Rattus norvegicus: one gene and its partner. The main gene of each other region encodes a partner of the protein of the gene in region 2 in a complex. Links are inferred from orthologs where the notes say so. Each region holds a gene or a part of one and is shown on either strand. Other genes may lie near its edges.

Evidence for each region.
Region 1: Sf3b3 (region 2) and Htatsf1 share a complex: the UniProt entries of both Homo sapiens proteins name them as parts of the 17S U2 SnRNP complex. The link is inferred for Rattus norvegicus from reciprocal best matches to the Homo sapiens genes SF3B3 and HTATSF1.

What each region holds. Positions count from the first base shown.
Region 1 is NC_086039.1:139,969,913-139,978,402, reverse strand, and holds the start of Htatsf1 (HIV Tat-specific factor 1), read right to left. Parts: upstream 5,662-8,490; 5' UTR 5,460-5,661; intron 5,443-5,459; exon of another isoform or gene 5,272-5,442; 5' UTR 5,216-5,271; coding exon 5,030-5,215; intron 3,679-5,029; coding exon 3,498-3,678; intron 3,168-3,497; coding exon 3,120-3,167; intron 2,715-3,119; coding exon 2,560-2,714; intron 1,296-2,559; coding exon 1,132-1,295; intron 289-1,131; exon of another isoform or gene 6-288; intron 1-5. UniProt on the Homo sapiens protein: Component of the 17S U2 SnRNP complex of the spliceosome, a large ribonucleoprotein complex that removes introns from transcribed pre-mRNAs.
Region 2 is NC_086037.1:55,717,710-55,725,406, forward strand, and holds part of Sf3b3 (splicing factor 3B subunit 3), read right to left. Parts: intron 7,614-7,697; exon of another isoform or gene 7,538-7,613; intron 7,211-7,537; coding exon 7,038-7,210; intron 6,549-7,037; coding exon 6,407-6,548; intron 5,218-6,406; coding exon 5,105-5,217; intron 4,239-5,104; exon of another isoform or gene 4,150-4,238; intron 3,960-4,149; coding exon 3,822-3,959; intron 3,026-3,821; coding exon 2,922-3,025; intron 1,360-2,921; coding exon 1,194-1,359; intron 895-1,193; exon of another isoform or gene 828-894; intron 1-827. UniProt on the Homo sapiens protein: Component of the 17S U2 SnRNP complex of the spliceosome, a large ribonucleoprotein complex that removes introns from transcribed pre-mRNAs.

The DNA of each region.
Region 1 (8,490 bases), on a different chromosome or scaffold from region 2:
CCACCATGCCCAAAAGAAAGGCTGAAGGGGATGCTAAAGGAGGACAAAGCCAAGGTGAAGGATGAGCCTCCTCTATGGCTCTACAAGATCTGCAAGGTTGTCTGCTAAACCTGCTCCTCCAAAGCCAGAGCCCAGGCCTAAAAGGGCCCTGCAGAGAAGGGAGGGAAGGTTCCCAAGGGGAAGAAGAGGAAGGCCAGTGCTGATAAGGATGCGAGCAATCCTGCAGAGAATGGAGATGCCAACACAGACCAGGCACAGAAAGCTGAAGGTGTTGCAGACGCCAAGTGACGTGTGTGCATTTTTGATAGCTGTGAACTTCTGGTGACTATATAGTTTGGAATACTATTTTTATCAAGTTTTATAAAAAATGCAGAATTTTGTTTTACTTTTTTTAAAAAACTATACTGTTAGCACACAGAACACTTCATTGGTGGCGGTGGGGGAGAGGATCATGTGTCACTAACAATGCTGGATTGAGAACAGAAAACCTCTTTCCATGGTAATTTTGAAAGGCTCCTGTTGGCTTCCTGGAGAGACATCCTAGTCTTGCATACGTGGCCACCAGGGCAAAAAAAAAAAATGGCCTTGTGGTCTGGGGAAACTCTAAATCCATTTTTATATCCTTTCCCCCCTGTACCATCAACATAGACTTCATTCCCTTAAAACCAGAGTCCTGTTGGAACCTGACCCCCAAAATTGATTTTCTAGTCTACTGGGTGATGTGGACTCTGCAGTGACTTCCTCAGTGTCTCAGAAGAGCGCTGGTTCCTTTTATAAAAGATTGTGGAGTTTCGGATTGATAAATCTGCCATGTTCATTTCCTGAAAATCAGGGCTGGTGTGTGAAAAGTTGTTAAACACCATCCTTAATATGAAATGTCAACCCTCACTCTACCCTACTTTCCCCTTTCCAAAGCATTGACTGAAGATTTCATTGGTTTTTATAGTGGATTTCTGATATAGGTAGTCTATATAAGAAGAGAATTTCAAAGTTCTTATATATTGTTCATTGTCTGCCCATGTCCTGCCTGAAATACCATGATTGTTTATGAAAAGTATCTTTAATAAAGCTGGTTACAGTTAGGCTTGGAAAAAAAATATGTAATCTTTCCAAGAAAGACAAAAGACATACTTCTGCTGCAGAGACAGCTTCTTCTTATAGTCTTTGCACTTCTTCTTCTTCTTTGAGGCATCGTATTCCCCCTTCAGCTGGAACTGTGCCACCTCCACATGCAATTTGTAGCCTCTAATTTCATCTTCATCCAAAAGTTTTAATGCAAGTTCCACAGATTCTTTCTTTATAAGGTAAAATAAAATACTCATTAAGTTGAGCACTGAAATGAAACTTGGGATTTTGATTAAAAAACATGCCCGCTACCTACTTTAGTATAAAGAATCCTAAAGTAGAAATCAGGAAAGCTCTGTTCGAAACACACATATATCTCACACACCTGTGTTAACTTAGGTACAGGACTAGTTCTCTAAACCCCCAACTTCTCCATCTGTGTAAAGCTAAAATATCTTCATCACGGAGTCCCTTAAATTAGATGAAATAGTATATGGAAAGGTATGGGTATAACATACAGTAGGTGTTCATTATATTTATATATTTACTATTCTATTACTAGAATTATACTACTGGGTAAGTTTTATGTCCAGGAACCCGATTTCCTCATGTGTAGAATGGGAGGAGTAAAGTGAGTGATATCTGCGGCATGTCCCAGCTGCGAGATTCTGTACCATCATCCACATAATAGTGGGTGATTTAAGCGACCAGAAGACAGTCAGCCTTTAGTATTCAGCTTCGTCAAACCAAATATACATCTGTAAGGAAATGCTTAGTAGAAGAGAATTACTTAATGGCTTATATATTAAATGCAGTTATGGATCCTGGGTCCTACACAAACACATCAGTTAGTAAACAGCTTAGGCCTTAGGGTTAGGGTTACTGCTGCAACTGCTCAATGCTACTGACAAAAGCAGCAGCCGCACAAGCCTAAGTTAGCCAGTGGGGTTGTGTTCCAACAAAACTGTACTTGCAAAAACAGGCAGCGGGCACGACTTTGCTAAACCCCATTCCAGTTCATTCCCATGTGCAAATAAAATGTCACTAGCTTTTTTCCTTCTCAGATTTTTAAACTCTTGATTATATACACTGATGAAGATGTCTTTGCAGTGAGATTTTTGAACATGACAAGCCTCAAAATTACATATTTGCATAACATACTGACCTTGTAGCAAAGTTTCTTAAAACAAGCAAATAACCCTAGTGTCACTAAGTTGATTTCTGGGTTTTCCTCTGTCTTACTAAATACTTCTTTTGTGTCGTGTATTTGCAGGATTTGGTGAGTATACTCTATGGAAGCAGTAATTCATATATATGTAAAAAAAAATGAGAAAAGATACAGCATGGCCTACATATAGTAATACCCCGAAAACCCAATTTCCTTTGTATTCTGCTTTGGATAGTTTGTGGTTTAGGTTAGTATCTATAAAATCCTAGCTTTGGCTCCTGGTTTAAAAACTGGAGGATAAGAGACTTATTGGACCAAATACCAACCTTTAGATAACAGCAAAGTCCATCTCCTTTAAGATTTCCTTGATCATCTTTGTAAAGTTTGACCTTAAATTCTTCAGTCTGAGGATCCCTCATAATAATACCAAATTTGGACATAAGCTGTATAAATTCATCCACTGTGATGTCTGGAGGGAGACCTGTACTTTCAGAGAACAATTTTAAAGTGTTTAATGACAGTAAAAGACTTTAGCATTTACCAATGAGAAACCTGAAACTTATGTGAATACAAGGCTAATTTGGGTAAATGAGTACAACAACTTCCTATCTATAAATGTGAAGAGGATTCACATTTTATATATTAAAAATATCAGTTATGCTATGCGTATGTTTCACTAAATGTAAAGGAACAAATTGCTGTGAATTCTCTAAGGCAGGCATACAAAACAGCATGGAACACTGCATAACTTTTCTTCAATCCCTCCTCATTAAATTCCAGCTAGCATAAGCAGGTGAACAAAACACACCGAAACTAAAACTCACTTAGCGCAGTTTCAACACTAAAGGATACCAACGTGAAAACTGCACTGCAACAGGATAAATACCTGACACATATACATTTGTATTTCTGTCTTCTTCAACATGGAACCATCCTAAAAATCAAAGGGAAATAAATAAAACACTTGAAACAAACAACAAGAATTACATTAGGAAATCTTAGCAAAGGCAGTTTCTTCAAAGTTTTAGAATGTCCTCTTTATCTCAGACAACTACGCCTAACTCAAATCCCTACGTATCTTCCAAAAGACATAAACCTTTTGACTGAGAATTACCTTTAGCGTTCTTTCTATCCTTCATGACTATAACCCTATCTTAAAGTGAAAACTCACATTATCATTCTTGCCTCCAACATGTACAATGGACTCACTCATTTTTCCTATCTCATTTTTAAACCCGGACTTTGCAAAGACAGAACCACTTGCCAGATTCAGCCTTTCTCTTTTCTCCCCTCTTTTTGGAGTCAGTGGTTTCCGGGATTTCTTTCTGTGGCGGCTCTTCTACAGTCTTAGTGTTGGCGTCCTGGACATTCCCAGTAGAGCTGGGTGCACCATCACCAGAAAAGCCGTAGTTGGCCTGATACGAAGCAATGAAATCTTCGGTGATCTAGATAAATAAGTCAACACATGGACGGACAAGGTGACTTCACTTGTGGAAACTGTGTTACATTCAACAATATAAGCTAAGACTTAAACAAGTGTTTATACCACAAGTAGTTCTACTAATTAAAATATAATCCAAGACCAGTCACCTTATACGGAAAACGTGTAGTGCAATCAAAGTAGGACAAGGGTGCTCAGATTGCCAAAACCACACGCATAGTTTTAAGTGATGCTACCACTTTTTTCTACATTCTTGTAAACTACTACTTCTTTACAGTATATTTAACAAAAGTGGCCAATACATAAAACAAAAGAAGTATCGAATAACAAGATGGTAAAACCCAAAGTCCACTAGCAATCTATTGCAGTATCTACTTTTGGGTGCCCAGATACCAAATAATAGTTTGTCAGACTATTATAAGTGCTCAGAAAGAAATCTCATCTACATTCGAAAAGGCATTGCAAGTCCAGAAGTTCAATTGTAAATTTTTACAGTTTGGGGTGCTTGAAATATGCGCAAATACAAAATCAGAAAGAATAGCTGAAATAAAGAATTTTGGAACCAACAATCAATCCCCCTGCACAATGGAGAAAAGTTGTGTGTGATTGGCTCTCCAATCGCTTGGTGTGCTGTTAGTACCCTTTGATGCCAAAGTTCCCATGAGGCTAAAACTAACAGAGTACTTTCACCCTACAGTTTATAACACCGGGTTCAACACCAGTTGTGTTATTTCCATGCTGAAACTAAACACTTAGCAATTCCCAAGTACTCGGAAACAAATGTAGAGTTCTCTTTCATCCATTTCCTGCGCATTCCTAGTCATACTCCTGTGCTTAGAGGGTCCAAACTTAGATGTCCTGGAACAAAATTTAGTAGAATAATAAAACAAAACAAGAATCAAGAAAAGTTTATTCGGCAGAATGAGCTGAATGACTGCTTTCTGACCCGGTAAATCAACAAGCTACATTAGGCACAAGCATGTACACGAAGCGTAAGTTAAGTTTGGTTATACAGGATAAAACTCTTATTAATGTGTTTTTCTTGGTGTTTTTCCTCTTTGCAGTAAAAATATCCAGATAAAAATGAACTGTGACCTTCACACACACACACACACACACACACACACACACACATACACAAATTAATAAGACATTAAAAAAACACACTTAAGGCACCACTCTAAGATTTACTTTTCTTTATACATCGGGGCTGCAATAGACTGAACAGACTAGCCACCAACCACCAGTTCAAAGACCAAGTACTTCAGCGGAGCAAACATAAGAGGGATGTCCCGCAAAGGTGGTCAGGGAGCCCTATGTCCCGCTCCACAGTGGGACTCAAGCTACTCTCTTACCTTAGGGAACCAAGCCTTCTTATCAAGGTCCCACTCGTAGGGAGTGTCATCTGGTGGTTGTCCCAAAGAATCAGTTTCTCCAGAGGGCTCATTCTGGGTGTCACCTTCCTTGGGGTCTCCGTACAATTCTTGCATTCGCAACTGCTCATCAAATTCATCGTTCCCGCTCAAGTTGCTGCCACTCATGGTTCTCACGTAGTCCCGGACACAACGGTCAGAGAAGTGAAGAGGCCAAAAGGGCGCTGGAAGAGAGCAGAGAAAGAGAGGTCTGCAGAGCTCAGAACGTGCACTGCAACTCCCCGGCCGCCTCCCGCAGCGCCCCAGCAGACCCTGGGAAGTCTAAGCGGTACCACCCCAACTCCGCCCTCCTGCCCGCCCCACTCGCGCACGCATGCGTCTAGAAACTGCCAGCGCTGTCGCCGCCACCCACCTGGCGGACTCCGCGGGGTCTCAACGCCACCGCTAGGTCTAGGGCGAGGCGGAAGCGCGCAAGCGCGCGGTTACCGCCGCGGCTGGCTCCGGGGGCACTACAGCTTCCTCCGCCACGTCAGGCAACTATTTGAGAACGAAGTCCGCCTCAGACTGATGCGGTCGCCATTGTCCGCGCGTGGCGACGTAAGGATCGCTCGACACGCCCACGTGGCGTCATATGTCCGCGACGCTTGCGCGGACAGGGGCGGGGTTTCAAAGCCTGGCTGCCGCCGCGTGTCCATACTTAATGGTAACTCGCCTTAGAGACGCAACCTGCAGAAATGCGTGGCACCTCGGGAACCTTGGGCTCCTCTGCACTCCGGACGAATTTCGCCGCAGCGATTGCCTGAAAAAGGACGCGGAACTCTTCCAGACGAGCTGGCTGTGTTTGGGCTTTGCGGCAGGCGCCATCTTGGGGAGGTGGGTGGGACCGTGGGACAAGTTTCTCCCGCTTCGCGAAACCTTTGCGCCTCCTTCGCGCAAATCCCCGCCCCTGCGCAGAAGCCAAGGGTTTACTTATTTTTAAATGCTTGCCCTAGGGTACACGCGGCTTTTGTTCACCTTAGTAACCCAAACACCTAATATACTGTTTGGCGTCTAGTGAAGAAGGAGTGAAAGAAAAGTGGGCAGAAGCCATCGCTTCCTAATCTCACCCCGTTTTTTTTTTTTTTTTGTTTTTTGTTTTTTTTCCGGATCTGGGGACCGAACCCAGGGCCTTGCGCTCGCTAGGCAAGTGCTCTACCACTGAGCTAAATCTCACCCCGTTTTTATGCTTCTGGTACCACCCTCAGACTGCAGTAGGTGAGAGTAGCTTTTGCCTGCGGCTTACTGCAACGTGTCAGAGGTGTTCCAGCCTGGAATTTGAAGCTTGACTGTAAACATCCCCTTGTACAAATAGGAGATGAACCATGTGGCCCCATTTCCTTGTTTCTTAGTAAGACAGCCTACTGCCTTACTAAGAAAAGCGGGACTTTTCTCTTAGATGTTTCATGTACCTCGAAAAGGGAAGAGGTCCATATTTTTAAAACAGACAGGCATTTACTGAACTATTAAGTGCCAGGGGGCGATTCTGAGGCAGCTGCTGAGAAGACAGATCAAGGGAGGTTCAATTATAGTTGGCGAACAATAGGGTGGAAGCACCAGATGCTGGACAGCAGCAATTACTTTGTTTTATTTTGTTTTCAGCATCCTTTAATACTCAAAAACTAGACAATTCTAAACAGCTTTTTTTTTTTTTTTTGGTGTGTGGACTACGTTTATCAACAAACAACAACGTCTGTTGCCATAATGTTAACTATGCAAGTAAAATTTTAATCACTAAAAGTAGCAATAAACTATACATGTAGACATCAGTACTATAATCAAGACTTGACTGTAGGGAAAAGCTTCTTAGAAATTATTTCCATTCCAGTCACCTTTGTTTGTAAACACAGTGGTTCAAGCTAGGTTCTAGAACATCTTGGCTCCTCACAAATCTCTGAATCTGATCCCACGTTAACGATGTTAAAAAAATAAAACAGTATTTTTTGTTTCCAAATATATTTATTTTTATGAGGTTCTGTTTTTAGTAGAACTATTGGAGAACTGAATTTATATGCATGCTGTGGATTTTGTTAGGTTCTTTTAAATGCTGCTAAGTAGGTCTTGCTTTGATCTGAAAACTATACAGCACTTTTCACTAATTTGTTATTATGCTTCCATTTCATTCAGGAGTATGTTTACAATAGAAGAGATAGTGCACTGGATGATATTGCACATGGCACACACTTTTAACGCCGTGCGCGCGCATGCGCACACACACACACACACACACACACACACACACACACACACGCTCACATACATCTATCCTTATGTTTGGGAGTTTTCTTGTCCCCACATCTTGTAATCTCTAATCCTAGTTGGGAGGGGATTTCTTCTGATAAAAAGGTTGATGTATCTTTAACCTAAGGTAATATGAACACAGAATTACTTAAAAACAAAATTTGCTTACAGAAGATGTACAGGGTTAAATTGGGGGCACTTCCCCTCTGCATATGCTGTGGTTGTACATGACTTTGTGACTTTCCTACTTCCTAGGGTATTGCTGTGATCCACATTCGAAATTTTGAGCAAAATTAGGACATGTTCACAGTATGTTTTGCCTTTGTCCAAATCTCTCCCTATCTAGAACTCTCACTAAAGAAATGAAATATCTCACAAAAACAATGTAATTGTGGCTATTATTATAGGCACCTAATAAAGTTAACCCCAAGAAAGAAAATGAGTTCATTTCCCCCAAACCCGTAAATTTTAATCACAGTTTTCTGCTACAAAAGTGGAGGGATGGGGCTGGGGATTTAGCTCAGTGGTAGAGCGCTTACCTAGGAAGCACAAGGCCCTGGGTTCGGTCCCCAGCTCCGAAAAAGAGAACCAAAAAAAAAAAAAAAAGTGGAGGGAGCTGATGCCCTTGAAAACTAAGATGTTACTTTAAACATATTTCATCACTAACTCATGCAGCCTAGTTTTGTGAAACAGGAAAGTACTGTCTTGACTTTTGTAGCCTGATACTTTTTAAACTTGGAGTTCTATCCTCGGCTGGAACGAGGACCCCTAGCGACTATGTACCAAACAGGACGCTCATTCTTCATGGCTGCCCTATCTGACCTTAGTGAAAGAAGATAGGCCTAGCCCCTCAAAGGCAATGTGCCAGGGTTGTGGGATACTTAGGGGGGGCCCACACTCTCAGAAAGGCATGAGGTAAAATAAAATTAGGGTTCTAATTACTTATTGATCATATACGTATGTTAGGGCCAGAGGAAGGTGTCATGTATCTTTTTTTTTTTTTTATCACTATCTGTCTTATTCCTTTTGATGTATGGACTCTTGCTGAACCCAGGGTTTCTGGTTTCTTTTTGTCTTTTCTAGCAAGGCTGACAGCCAGCAAGTGCCAGGAATCCTATTATCTCAACCCCCTTCTGTGCTGTAATTACAGGTGTATACAGGACCAC
Region 2 (7,697 bases):
TGTGTCTGAAGTCAGCCAACAGTGTACTCATATATATAAAAATAAGTAAATATTAAAAAAACAACACAACAACAATAACAACAACAAAAACCACCTTGTAGGGTATAGTAGCAAACACCTTTATTCCCAGCACTCCAGAAGCAGAACCAGCAGGAAGAGGCAGGAAGACTTGAGTTTAAGACTATCCTAGTCTACAGAGTTCCAAAGACTGCAAGGACTGCACACAGAAATAATGCTCAAAAACCAACCAACCAACTAAACAAACAAAACAAACAAACAAAAAAAAAAAACAAAAACACTCATGCAATTTATTCAGAAGTCAAAAAGAAACTTTGATATCATGTGCAATGAAGTGTTGTTAAATCTGACTTGCATCCAAGATTAGTGTTTCCTTCTACTTATCAGTGCCAAACTACACTGAATTATAACGTTGTTACCAATAAAAGTAATTACCAAGTTTTCAGGTATTCCAAGAGTCATTTATTCTAACCAGTACTTCAAAAACCTATGGGCCCCATTGTTATTAGCTGCATACCCACATACGTGCATATCACGCAGTTAGCCAACTCCTAGGTGACTACACGAGGACAGCTGTGAACTCGAACCTCACCACCCAGCCAGGCACGGCAGCTTACACCTCTAATCCCAGCAGTGAGGAGGTTGAGGCAGGAGGATAGTTAAGTTCAAAACTAGATTTTTTTTCCCCCTGGAGCTGAGGACCGAACCCAGGGCCTTGCGCTTGCTAGGCAAGTGCTTTACCACTGAGCTACCACCAACCCCAAAACTAGTTTTTTTAAATTTTTATTTTTTTTATTATTTTTTTTTTATTTTTGTCTGAAGGGGACTGGCAGAATTACTGTATGCAGTTACTCTGCTAATGAACCTTCAACTATTAGTATAGCACATAAGAATTAACACTGCTCACACAGTCAAAGGAAAGCAGGTCAATGAAATGTGCAGTGAAAACTAGATTGGAGCTATACAGACTAAGACTGTCTTGTCTCAAAACAAACAGCCCTCATAAATTGATACGTCCCTGAACTTCTGTTAACTACCAGGTTTCCATAGCAACGATTTCACAGATAAGCAGTTTTCAGACTACATCTCATATTGAGGAAAACTTTAAACCATTACATTTCAGATTTAATAATAGTCAGCTGGCATAGTTGAGAAGTAATTGAATAAAGTCACACCTGGCAAAAGAGAATAGGAGAGAGGCTGTCCAGTTCATCCACCAGCACGAGATTTTTGAGTGGTCTCGGCTGAAAGAAGAATGTGTCTCCTTCTTCTAAAGGCATGGCAGATGAAAACTCAGGCTCTTCATCATCATCTCCAAGATGGGCAATTTGATACAAGTAACTAAGGACAAAGCAAAAGAGATTTTCTTTGGCACAGGTCACAGTATGCTTGGAAGTGGGACGTGACAGCAGTTTGCTGTATAGGTTTCAAGGGGAGAGACGAAACAAGGTACTCAGAACAAATGGCAGGAAGTGCAGAGCACGTGTAGGCAGGGGAGAGCTCGGCTGCAAGAGTGCTCGGCACACAAGCATGGGGACCTGCGTTCAGATTCCCAATACTCATGTGAAAAGCAGGATGCAGCAGCTACACCTGTGATCCCAGAGCTGGGGAGACAGTCCCAGATCCCTGTCCTAGCCAGTCCACACAGAACCAGTTGTTTCAGGTTCTGTCTCAGAAAATAAGGTAAAGAGCTACTGAGGAAGACCTGACGTCCATGTCTGACCTACATACCCACACTTCTACTGCACATAATTCATACATGCCACAAAATTCTAAAAAGCATCTAATTTTAATTACGAGAAAACTGAGCTCAGTTTCCAGTAAACTGTTTTGCAGACATGTTAGTAGACAGCGGCAAGGCCCTGTCATTCATAAGTAATTTGGAATTGTGGATACTGGTCTTAAACTGCTCATTAGAGTTCAGATTTCTTCTGTATGGCAATGAAAATCCATCAAAGTTTGTTAATACTGAGATACAGGAAATAATGTCACTAACATAATAACTACATTATCAATAAGGTAATGTCCCATCTTGTTAAGTTTGACTCTTTATAAAGACTGGATTTTGCAGGAAAGCAAAGCAAATTAAATTTAGACTGGAAACAGTGTAGTAAGAAAAACTAGAACTTGTACACTTGACTAAAAGGAGTAGAGGAAAAATAAACTCAGACTCCACAAGTCACTAGAAGAGGCCCATTAAACAAAAATATTGAGCAAGGCACACTGGCGATACAGGCAGGCAATGTGGATACGAAGAAACTTCAACTGTAGGTCTGTACAAGAGAGCACATGTAGAAAAAAATCTCTCTGGCTTTACTTTTCGTTAGAAAATCACCTCACTATGCAGCCCAAGCTGGTCCCATACTTGAGATCTTCCTGCCTCAGCCCATACTTACAGACATTCAGGATAGTAATGGAATTCACTACAGTAAAGGAAGCTAACAATGAAAATTAACACAAAAACGGGGTTGGAGGAAGGACTTGGGGTGGTATTTTAAAAGCACTTGCTGCTCTTGCTGAGGACCTGAGTTTGGTTCCCAGCATCCCTACCTTGACAGCTCACAAACACTGGAACTCCAGTTCTAGATGCCTCGCCTGACCTTCTACATATATGTGGGGCATGTACATGCACTCAGTATACATACATAGAAAATGTAATTTTAAACAACTCTAAAAACCCACAAAAAAGATAATGCAGTAGAAGAAAAGGGATAGGGAGAATGAATAAAAAGGGAAAACGAGAGCAACACTTCTGAAAAACCTCAACTATTCTATGAAAAGGTCCCCAACACCTCCTGTCTGCTAACTTTTACTATGTGTGGTAACCTAGGGGTTATAGTGGTAAGCTAAAATAAATAAATAAATGAATGAATAAATAAACAAATAAAAAAAGGATTACTTACTGATTTCCAAATTCTGATGCCACAAAAAGGAAGCCTGTTTTAAGCACACACATAGCAGCAGCAACAGGAACAGTATCAAAATACTTGAGGCGGATCTCAGTTACCTGGAACAGAAGGACGGTGTATAGGCAGGTGCAGCTTAGCCACAGAAGCCTGCTCTGTGCACCACAAGTGAACAAAGGACAGTGCAGCCAGCCTGAGGGGTTAAACATAGCTACTGCTTTTTCTGCTTCAATGTCAGTTACTTTGGACTGAGAATACACAGCAGAGAAAAACTAAACATCTTAAGTGGCTTTACAAGGTCAGATACTTGTTAGCCAGAATGAGAAAACCCAAATTCAAATTCAAACCAAAAGGTAACCACTTTCTAATGTATCTAAATTTCTAAATTTTTCCCTCTTTTACTCAAAGTAGATTCTGGTCTCACACCATACATCCCAACCAGTTTCCCCTCCTTCACTTCTCCCGGCTTTTCCCAGCCCATCTCCCCCAGATTCACCCCCCTCCAGTTCCTCTTCTGAAAAGGAAGACCTCCTTCTGACTTGTTGAGAATCAGTTGCACTTGCTCCCTATCTTGGTGCAGGGAAAAGTTATGAAGTATAGATGTTAAGCAGCTTTGAGAGCCAGGTAGTGGTGGCACACACTTTAACCCCAGCACTCAAGAGGCAGGGACAAGCACATTCTGAGTTCTAAGTGAGCCTAGTCTACAGAGCTATGACTGGCAAGGCAAATCCCATCTCAAAAAAGCAAAAACAGTAACAAAAAAAGTAAAACAGCTTTGTAAATCTTACATGCACAAACAGCAGGTACTTTAGACAAAGGTTTTAAATTATATTCAAATTAAAAATCAAGATAGACTACAGCAAATAGATACTCCCCCTCCATCCATGTTCTATTTACCATATCTTCATCTGTCTCCAAAGTGATCTTAAAGATATCTCCCTGCTCCGTTTGGGCCAAAAAGAAGAACATGGACTTGGTCTTATGGGTGGCAGAGCAAACAAAAATCATTCCTCTTTCAGGGTCATCCAGGTCATTCTGGCAAAACCAGAAACAGAGCCAACATCTTAGAAATAAGCAACTCAGTATTCTGGAATTCATCTTTTACAAAAAGGAACTCTACAGACTACTCAAGGACTAAGATGCAAACATTGCCCACCATAGCTGTTAACAACTAAAGCTTGCCCACCCCACCCCGTGACCAAGAAACTGCTAATATTCCACTCTGCAGCCTCATCAGATCAGCAAGGCAAAAATCATCTCCAGAGGAGAATGTCAGAGAAGAGACACGAATTAAATAGTCATCATTTCAGGCTGGACATAATAATTTAAAAACAAAAAGCACACTCATCCACACTGCCATGGAAACCATCCATCACCACCAGCCTGTGTAGTACCAAGTTCCCACTCCCCTACAAATAAGTCTAGTGCTTGGAGTTGTTAAATGTTTTCAAGATTTTAAAAAATATTTCTGCATACAAACTCATAAGTTTTATACCTTTTCACTGCTCCCAAACGAATACAAATTCCTGGCTTAGGAAATGTCTGATCAACAGGCCGATTTCAATGTTTTTTCACAAGATTAAATTTTATCGCTTAACCTATAAGGTTTGACCCAGAACCAATATTAAAAATATGTAAGTTGAGGGAGGAAAAATGTAAGAACTGACTCAGTAATAAGACTGGTACTGTATCCACATAATGAACAGACCAGAAAGGGAAGAATATTTACGATCTATAAAAAAAAAAAAATCCTAAGTCTGTACCCGCACAATGACATGACCTTAATAAAGTGATAACTTGCTTAATATGTAGAGTGCACAAAGCCCTGCACTCCAAAGTATTAATTAATAATTTCCCCTTTAAAACATACCCAGTTTTAGAAAAGCAACTTATCTTTTTACATAACCAAAACATGGCAACAGACAAATTTAAGAGACTAAGCTGGTGAGATGGTGCAGCAGGTAGTACGCTTGTCAACCTGAGTTCAAACGGAGTCCCTCATGATGGAAGGACAAACTGACTCCTGCAGCTTCTCCTCCGACCTCCATACACGAACCATGGCATACATGCACACAGAGTAATAAATAGAAGAGAGAGGAAGATACTATGGTGGATCATTAAGAGCAAACAAACAAGCTAATTCATTCCCTAGTCAGCTGTTGCTCTATGGTAGACTTTACCCGTCTCCTGGGAATTGGACATCGGATGTCTGGCTGGTCACCAAAGTTCTTGTAGGTGATATAATTCTCAGAGCAGATCAGCACTCCACTTGGACCATCTGACCCTCCAGGAACTGTGAGAGGGAAAAAGCTTAAATATTTTGCACTGCTTTGATTGTCAACTGTTCTCCTTCCCACCAATGATGCTAAAACCAAGTGCTTCTTTTGATGTCCGCCTCTAATCAAGTACTTGGAAAGCAGGGGCAAGAGGGTCAAAAGTCAAATGGTCTTCAGTTACAAAGTGAGTTTGAGGCTGGTCTGAGAGATCCTGTCTCTAAAAAAATTAAAATAAAGCCAAGCATGGTAGTTTCCATCTGTAATCTTGATCAAGAGTTTAAGCCACCTTTAGTTACGTGAAAACTCTTGAAGCCAGCATGAGGAATGAGAAAATTTCAAAAATTAAAACCCAGCTCAGCTGGTAAAGTACTTGCCGTGTAAGCATGAGGCCCCTTTAAAAGCTGTGAGCGAAAGCACACCTGAGCCCCGGGCGTGGGGTGGGTGATATCCCTGGGGCTCGCTGGCACTGCTCAGAACTGCTGAGCTGCACCTCCAGTCCCTTCTCAAGTCTGACATTCATATAAGGCCATATGATCTCATATAGTTTTATTCTTTTAAATAAGTAGCTTTTATTATCTTACTAGTGTCTAATGTGTTTTTCCTTTTCTTTTGAGACAGGAGTCTCATGTATACCCATAGCTGGCCTCAAACACAGTCAGATCCAACTGTGTCCACCTCTCAAGACCTGTAACTCATTCTGAGAAAGGCTGGCCTCCAACTCAGAGATCCCCCACTGGAATCAAAGAGGGGAGCACCTGGCCTTTTTTTTAAAAAAACAAAACAACAACAACAACAACAACAACAACAAAAAACAAAAAAAAAACCCCCAAAACTTTACCATCTTTAGCCTCAAGAAACAGAAACCTGATATGGTAGCGAACATCTGTAATTCCAGCACTAGAGAAACTAAGGCAAGAATGGCCTTGATTTCAAGGTCAACTTAGTCTACCTAATGAGGACTATAGAATGAGAACTTGTCTAAAACAACGCAACAAAAACATATAAAACATTAGGTTTTCTACAATGAGATTAAGATCCAAATCCTGTGTGGTAAGCACCCATGTGGCAGCTTACAATGGTCTGTAACTCCAGATCACAGGGATCCAATGTCTTTTTCTGGTCTCTATAGACATGCACACAAGCAAAACACCCAGATAAAGTAAGTTTTTTCCCCTAAAGGCACAAAGGAGCACTGCAGAAAAGTACCTGTAATAAGGAAGTTGCCATGTTCCTCCAACGGTTCACTGTATTTCCGAACCACGTGATTTAAACCAAGGTCCAATTCATAGAAAGTAAGTGTCTGCTGGGTATTGGCTGCTGCTTCCCCTGTTGGATCATTGTCTGCTTCCTGTAAGACAGTGCACAAAAACTAATCAAGTCTTTGACTTGGGAAGGATATCAGGATTTTACATACAATGAAGTAAAGGTTCAGAGTCCAAATAGTTTGACAAAGTTTAGCAATCTCTATGTTGGACCCTGGGCTGTCAGCCTCCACTAGAGGGAGGCGCTCTGGCTAAAGCAAAGACTGGCATGTTTTGCCTTTTACTACTTCCCTTAAACAACGCCCCTCCCCCCAAACCCAAATAGAACTCTGCTTTTCTCATGCAGCTCCTCTTAATAAATGTCTCAGATCAGAGCAGTCATTTAAATCTGAACAGATAATACTAGTCAAGTGCACCCAAGATTTTCAGTCAAGCATTCATATCAAGAAAAAGATCCGCTAGCAAGAATGATTTTAATATCTACATATACAATTAAAATTATTTTAGGAAAAAAATCTGAGATGACTAAAACAGAGAGAGAGAGAAGAAGGGAGGAGAGAGAGAGACCCTGGTACCTCATAATCCATTTCCAGACAAGCAAACATAGGATTTTCAAATCCCACATCTACTCCAACCACATGGTACACTAGAGTGTTTGCTTTGTGGGCCTCCAGGGGAGATGAAATGGTAAGTCGGGCTGCAGCGTCTCTGTTCAAGATATACACCAATTTCTGCTTCTCAATCGCACCTATTGTTGGAGGAGATGAAAGAGCAGATTTCCACATGAGAAGACAGACGCCTAGACATTCATTCTTTTAAGTAAGACCATTAGCAGTCACCACTAACTGTCCAAACATACTGCCCTCTACTGCTGGCAGACAACACCTTTTCAGAAAATCATCATAACCCCTTCTAACAAACATCTTAACATCCCCCCAATTCTTCAGAAATGTTTAAGGTGCCCGGGACATTAAGGTACACTGAGAGATGGGACAATAGCCAATCAGTCTGTTAACTCCTTTTTGAATTAGGCCCAGTTGTTTTGTAACTGGGCAAAGGGTGGCTTGCCCTCTAGAGGCCTGATCAGATACACAGAATCTCCAAGAATTCTTCAGAGAAGAGACATGATTGTGAATCATCACTTCAGGCTGAAGAAAGCAACCAAACCACACAACTGAGATCAATTCACTGTGGCCTTTGCTGCAGAAAAAATAAATTCATTCAATTAAATAATG